Linked DNA regions of Stegostoma tigrinum. The protein of the gene in region 1 interacts with the protein of each later gene in a pairwise test. Links are inferred from orthologs where the notes say so. Each region holds a gene or a part of one and is shown in the gene's direction. Other genes may lie near its edges.

Evidence for each region. The genes of interacting proteins can lie anywhere in the genome.
Region 2: the proteins of ryr2a (region 1) and fkbp1b interact in binary tests that used the Homo sapiens proteins (3 or more experiments, as listed by UniProt). The link is inferred for Stegostoma tigrinum from reciprocal best matches to the Homo sapiens genes RYR2 and FKBP1B.

Annotation. Positions count from the first base shown.
Region 1 is NC_081362.1:78,695,373-78,699,126, reverse strand, and holds the start of ryr2a (ryanodine receptor 2), read left to right. Parts: upstream 1-971; 5' UTR 972-1,077; coding exon 1,078-1,125; intron 1,126-3,754. UniProt on the Homo sapiens protein: Cytosolic calcium-activated calcium channel that mediates the release of Ca(2+) from the sarcoplasmic reticulum into the cytosol and thereby plays a key role in triggering cardiac muscle contraction. Aberrant channel activation can lead to cardiac arrhythmia.
Region 2 is NC_081357.1:122,404,591-122,408,344, reverse strand, and holds the start of fkbp1b (peptidyl-prolyl cis-trans isomerase FKBP1B), read left to right. Parts: upstream 1-871; 5' UTR 872-963; exon of another isoform or gene 964-1,012; intron 1,013-3,754. UniProt on the Homo sapiens protein: Has the potential to contribute to the immunosuppressive and toxic effects of FK506 and rapamycin. PPIases accelerate the folding of proteins. It catalyzes the cis-trans isomerization of proline imidic peptide bonds in oligopeptides.

The DNA of each region.
Region 1 (3,754 bases):
TGTGACATCCCAGTGAACCACTGATGAGGTACTGCACTGTCAGAGGTACCAGCTTTTAGATGACAAGTTAAACCCTGGCCTTATCTGCCCTTATAAGCGAACGCAAAAGAATAATATTTGCTGAAGAGTAATATTTATTCTATTTTGAAGAATAATATTTATTTCCCAATTAGCACCCTTCAAAGCATGTTATCTAGTCATTAACATTCTAGATGGTTCTGTATTCCGCACAATAGTCACAATGCTCGAGAAAAATACTTATTATGTACCTAAGTCATTTTGGGGGGTGCGAGCTGTGATCCAAAAAGGTGCTATATCAATACAAGCCTTTCTTTCTTATTCTCCAGCATCAACAAAAGAAAAAACATACACAAAATGCTAATATTTATCACCATTTATTTAAGTGTTGGGGGGGAGGAGGTAGAATATTTTATAACTAGTGAAAGCGACGAAATAATGCACTAAGTCATAGAAAATCGACGACCCGTACATTATTGCACACAATTTGAGGAGATGCATGTAGCTCATCTGCACCTCTTCCTGATAAGCTTTTTTTTCCCTGACACATTCGGCGATGTCTCTCCGCAGGCACTTGGTTTTGCGGAATAGCTTGCGGCGAAAGTTTCATGAGCAAAAGTAAGAGAGATTTAATAAAAAACCAGGAAAAAGAGAAATTGCTGAAAAAGCCCGGCAGGACTGGAGTTCTGAGGAAGGGTCACTCTGCTTTCTCTCTCTCTCTCTCTACAGATGCTCTCTGAGCTTTTCCAGCAATTTCTGATTTCCAGCATCAGCATTTCTTTTTGGGTGGGAGGGGGGGGGGTTGGAAATAATCGAATCTGGGTCTGCTACAGCGCGAGCGCGAGCATCTGACGGTGCGCACCACCGCTCCCTCCCCCGCAACCCCTTCGGGCTCGCGCTCGCGGAATCCCCGAGCGGAGACGCGCGCGGGAGAGCCAGAGAGGGAAGAGAGGAGGATTTGCAGCTCTGCTGTGATAAGAGTCCATCATCCAGGGGACAGACAACCAGCCGCGCCTGTCTTCTCCCTCCCCTCATCCCACATCACCCTCCCTTGCGGTCATGGCTGAGGTGGGAGAAGGAGAAGACGAAATTCAGTTCTTACGAACTGTAAGTACCTCTTTCTCACACCACCACCACCATCCCCCCATTATTATTTCCATCTCCCTCACCTCGCGTACCATTAAATAATGTGTTCTTCGCTCTTTAACCCTCCCCACCCCACTGTGTGAAAAGGACGCGAGGATTTATTTCAGCCGCATTTGAATCAATGTGTATTAGTCCTGCACTGCACTTAGCGGGTGCGCTGTCACCAACCGCATGCTGTGTTCGCGGTGCTTTTATCTTGGATGGAATTATTCTCTCAGTAAATCGGAAAGCTTCTGCTGTCTGGTGCATTTCTTCTGGGGAAAAAATGTGATTGCAAAGAGGCGGAAATGAAGTGTCAAAGAATCTTTGCATCCCAGGGCGGACTATGTGACAATAACTGATGGCGTTTATAATTTGAACGAAGCAGGAGTTAGTACAGTATTGAATTTTTTTCTCCCCCCCCCCACCCCCTTCCTTAGTAGTGTGGGGCTAGCGGAAGAGTTAGCGGGATGCTGTTTGACGGGCTGTTAGGGAATGAGCGCTGTTATCTGGGCTGCACTGTTAGATGGATAGAGGCAAGGTTTGGATTTGGTGCCCTGTGTTGCTCTAATGAGCATGTTTCATGCGTAAGACACGCAGGCAGTCACCGTGGTGCCGCTGTTGCTCATTGTTCAGTTCATAAGCAATGCAGTTGCCCCGTTTGGCTCTCAGTATTTGTGCAAACCAACCGTAACGAGCCGTCATATCCAGTGCTCGGGTTCTTTGGTTCGTCTTGCTCTGTACACGGGTCGATGCAGTTAATTTTCACAGAAACATATCATTGCATTTTTAATGCACGCCTCTACACAATTTAAATATGCGGAAATTTCGCGCAAGTATCGCCAGAGTATGCGTGTTTTTTTGAGGTGTGAAGCATAACACAAAACTGAAAACCAAGCATCGAGTTGTAAAGTGTTTGTATTTCTTAACAGTGGTATATGTCATGCATGCTCATCTTGAACGGACCACTAGCGTCTCCATGTCACCTCAAGTGATTTATAAAAAGCGTTTACAAAGTTTTTAAAGCTTGCTTGGAATAAGGGAGCGTAGAGGCATTTATTGGTTCACAATCCGAATACCTAGTGGTGTTACATTTGACTAGAAGTTTAGCAACGTACTATACTTATAGAGCAATGCCAACGCAGCATACAGCAGTGGGGTTACACAAACATTAGGCAAGCCCATGTTCTGTTAACTAATGTAGACTTTGGCCGTTTATCCTGAGGTTTCCTTTGCAACAAAATGCTGAACTTGGATGAAATGACCTTGAGTGAAAGTACAATGTGAATCAAACTTTTTTTGTTATATATCATGCATGTTTGTAATGTTTAGGAGAGTTGCACGGGTTAAAGGAAAGCTGACTGCAGTAGAAATGTTCAATTGTTTTATTTACAAGAACACTGCTATTTGTCCTATTTTAACAGAGAGGCTAAAATCTGATATTGATCAGTACACACCGGCCATCATGTTTTAGTATTTAAAATTACCATTAGTTTCTACAGACCTATATAACATGCAAGTAAATTATCCATATACTGAAAACTTAAAATGCAGAACCAACTCAAAGTCAGGTGTCAAGATCTGTAATATATCAGATGAACAGAGACAAGATTTAGATTTTGCTTCTGTATGCTAATTCTCTATATTAATCAAGTGTATTAAGCCTTCAAAAATGTGTAGTGTAAAAGCTGTGTATAGCTAAATCTGAATACCTCAATCTCAGTATACCAAATCTTGAAGTTTTCAGTTATCATCATTTTGTTACTGTAATGTTTCAATAATGAAATGCATGCAATCAACATTAACAAATTAAGACAAATTCTAAGCTACCAAAAAAAACCTACAAAATTTCTGTAGATTAATTCATTGCCAGCAATGAAAGTGATGAATGGTTATTCATTTTTACCCAAAGGAATATCAACCTGCAAAACGAACAATAGTCTTAATTTTAAATTCTCACAATGACCTTGGAACCATACTGATGATTCATGTGCTTTTGTAGATGACAGCCTGGTGTCTGTAGATCCTATTTGTTGAGCAACATTTCCCACAATGTTTGTCAAAGAATGTGCACTGAGCCCATTCACTGTTGTCTTGCATTGGGAGCTCCTCCATAATGGTGCATTCTGCTTAATGTATGTAGCACTGTGTTTTGGATTATAGGACAGGATCTGTATATAGATCACAAAAAGAGAACTGCACAATTTGAGCCATTCCTTTTTGGCAAACTGAAGAAGGAACTACGAACTAAAGACATTGTGGGGCTACAGAAATTAAACTGATGAGCAGCTTTGGGTGACCATGAACAGTACAGATATAGGTACTGATCATTCTTTAGTTATTAACTGTTGCATTGCCTGTTTTGTTTAGATTCATAGTTATAGTCATTTATAGCACAGAAGGAGGCAGTTCAGCCCTTTGTTTCCGTGCCAGTCAACAAAAATCTGATTATATTAATCACATTTTCCAGCTCTCACTTCATAGCCCTGGAGGCTATGGTAATACGAATGACTACCTAATTACTGCTTCAGGTGTTACGAGAAATTCAGAATCAACTACTGTTTGAGGCAGTGATTGCCAGATTCCCACTCCCCTACCATACAGAGCAACC
Region 2 (3,754 bases), on another chromosome or scaffold:
CACTTAGATAAGTACATGAATAGTAAAGATTTGTAGGGGTATCAGCCAGGTGCAGGCAAGTGGGACTCGTTTAGTTCTGGATTATGTTTGACACGGACTGGTTGGACCAAAGAGCCTTATCCCGTGGTATCTGACTATGTGATCGTGGCTGATCGTCCAACTCAGTGTCCTGTTCCCGCTTTCCCCCCGTACCCCTCCCTGTGAACCCTTTCACCCTAGGAACTGTATCTGTTTCGACTTAGCCTCAACCACTTTCCGTGGCAGCAAATTCTACAAACCAGACACCCTCTGGGTCGAGATACTTCTCTTGTATTTACACAGCATTATAAGCATTTTGGGAAGCCTTGAAATGTTGCTATCAATCAGGGCTGGTCATTTGTGCACAGCAAAGTCCCACGAACAGCAAGCGATGAGAATAAATGAACAGACAATGGATTCTGTTGTTGTTGTTGAGCAATTAGACCAAACAGCACAGTTTCTGGGATGTTTCCCCCACATGGTGAGGGAGGATGGGGGGATTGGGGAGGATGGGGGGGATTGGGGAGGATGGGGGGGATTGGGGAGGATGGGGGGGTTTGGGGGGGGTGAGCAGGTAGCACCCGGACCTGAAGCGAGAGAAAGCTGGGCGAAACCCGTTCCGTTTCGACGAGCCCGAGCGGTCGCGGTGACACTCACCCAGCGACAGCCTCCCTCCCCCTCACAACAACCCCCCGCCCCCGGCAACGGCAGCAGAAAGCTCAGAGGGACTTGAGCTGCATTGGCGCGGCATCCTCACCGGAAGCTTGCCCCTAGCAACCGCCTTACTTCCGGTCTGTTCGTGGAAGCGCGGGTGTACACGGCACGCATGCGCGAAGTTCGCTCAGACACGGCAAGGGGAGGATGGATGAGGTATTGTGTCTGAGCCATTGGGAAATATTGACTATTTCTTTTTCCTCTCCATCCTCACAATAAACCTCAACAGAGGTGGGTGCAATGAGTATAAGGAACTTTTAACAAAGAAAAAGGAGCCAAGGTATTGAATTTTCTGATTTTTAAACTAGTGATGGGTAATTAGACAGCTGCTAGCATTTATCAGACAATTGGAAACATCTTGAAGTTAAGGTAAAGGGGGATAAGTTCAAACCACTTAAAAATAAAGTTAGGACTGGTTGGAGGAGGTTTTTCTTTAAAACAAATCTTTACATAATTCATGATTTAGGTGAAACCTATTTAATGTGAAAAGGAGAGAGCCAACACTAGGGATAGATTGGAGTTCACCACACCAACTAAAAAGCAAAGAGTCGCATTTATGAAGCGCTTATTCACGATCACTGACAATGTCAAAGCACCTTGCTACCAATTAAGCGTTAGTTTTTAAGGGGAGTTACTGTTCTAATGTTAGAGGCGTAGCAGTTATTTTGTGCTCAGCAAACATCTACAGATAGAAATGTGAGATTGAACAGCTGATGTTTTTTGTGATATTGCTTGAGAGATAAATGATGATCATCTCACCATGTATAACTCCCCTGATCATTTTTGAAGTAGTGCCATGGTGTTTTGTACATCCACCTTAGCAAGTAGAATAAAGCCCTGGTTTAATTTCTCATCTGAAAGATGGCACCTCCAACAATGTTATACTCCCACATACTGCACAGGAGTGTCAGCGTTAATTTTCTCCCCAAAACCCTTATTTCTGTCCCAGGTCCCCTTAGATTAGTTGCTATATCAATTTTTTAAATTAACATGCTATGATTCCTGAATGTTGTTTATGTTACCACATTCTGCAGGAGCAACAGTGCAATCACAAATAGAAAAATGTTTCAAATTTTGAAATACAGCAGCACTGTTATCTTGTTTATTGTTAAGGATTTTCTGTTGCTTATTTTGGAAAACTCAAAACTAAAAGATAACTAACTATACAGTTTTGCAGTTCACTGGCTACTCTGCAGACATGCCCAGTGTCATTGTGGCAGCCTTGGTATCGTTCTTTGCTTAATAATACTCATGTTAATTGGCTTGTACCATTTCATCATGTTGGAGGCATTAAATAAATGTGTTGTTGTAGATTTGCAACATTCAATTGAGATGTTAATATGTTCCATATTAACTCCAAATCTGAAAGATTTTTCTCTTTTTGTAATAGTTCAGACTCCATAAATTAAGATACACCACCAGTTTTTCTGGTGCTGTTTGGAATTTAAGTTTCCATGAACACCCACTGATGGTGCTCGTAGCCCAGCAGTTGAAAATAACGATTGTGATTAAAGGATGAAATAATTTTTGTAGCTCAGCCAAACTGTTCTGAGTGTTGGAGATGAGACTGGACCAACTGCAGTTTCCTTAAGCTCCGTGTTTCTAGCAAAGGAGGATGGGAGACTGCATTCCTGATCAAACAATTTATCAACCATCTGCTTGGGCACTACCTTGTGAAGCAGGGAAACACTTTGAGCCAAATTTTTGTGCAGCCTTCCTAACTCTGCACCTCTTCAGGAATGGCAGTTGAAATTTGGACACAGAAGTTCTGTCCACAATTCTGACAGGTCTAGTTTTTGCCAGCAGTGGAAAGGGGATAGTTTGTGATACACAGGAGTGTATTCAGAACTCAACAGGGCCATTCGAACTCCACTCAGTTCAAAAAGACCCCACCTTGGTTGATGCAAGCTTTCTTACCAACAATGTCTGATGAAATAAGCATCAATGTCATTTTCAGGCAGCGATAATCAGTACAACTATCATTATCTGAAGGTTTTTTTTAAATGACCCACTATTTAATCTTCAAAAACAAAAGGCTGAGACTGTCAGTGAGAGTTTACAAAAAATTTACTGGACTGCTTTGAATGAAGGGCAGAGGTTAAAAAAATGTAACAACTGTTTGGGCAATTACGATAGAACTCTTTCTTGTCATTTCTTCAGGGGCTATTATGATACCTTTTGTGACAGGTCAACCAGGCATTCATAAAGACATGTTAGGCCATAGAGTGGGTAAGGTCATTAGAGCCTTTAAGACTTAGGGGCTGGTTGGCCTAGCAGCTTCTAAAAAAAGTGGAACAAAGACCCAAGGAACAGGTCACGTTTTTTGGCGAGTTAGGAAACTTCCTGACTAAAATGCTGTGCCTCATTTGCCAAGATCCAGTCCATATGTCAAAAAGCTGCCCATCCATTTCGAAACCACAGTTTTTCAAACAATTCATCTGAATCAGGAGGAAGATTTTGTATTGCAATGCAGCTGGAGGTTCATTCCTGTTTGTGAAACACTGAATTACATACATTGTGGCTGGGCTAAAATCGGGTAGTTTAACTTCCTGTGATATCACATTATTGTTGACTGGAAACTTTATGAATTGTGCAGCCAACGTGAAACATTTCTCTGTTAAGCACTGGAACCACATGACGCTTCGGAACCAATTTATTGCCAAAGATCGCCACTAAAGGTCACATCCTGTTAGTAGATAAATCATTAGGTTGTGCTGAAGAGGATTAGTAGAATCTTTCTTACTTGTAGTAGATGTGTATTTGTTAAGAAGAATGGAAGAAACCCTATTAAAAAGCATGTGAGTCAAGGAAGGCTGAACTATAGCTCACTCAAAATGAGTCATTTCTACCCTTTGTCTAAACTGTAAAATGTCACACAGTGCACACTTATAGAAATATATGCATTGTTACTCCTACTTAAAGCAGGAGTTCATGATTCAGCTCATAAGATAACAATCAGAACTATAATTTCACTCCCTACGTCAGTATGCCGTTGCCTAACAACTTTCCTAATGAACTAGAA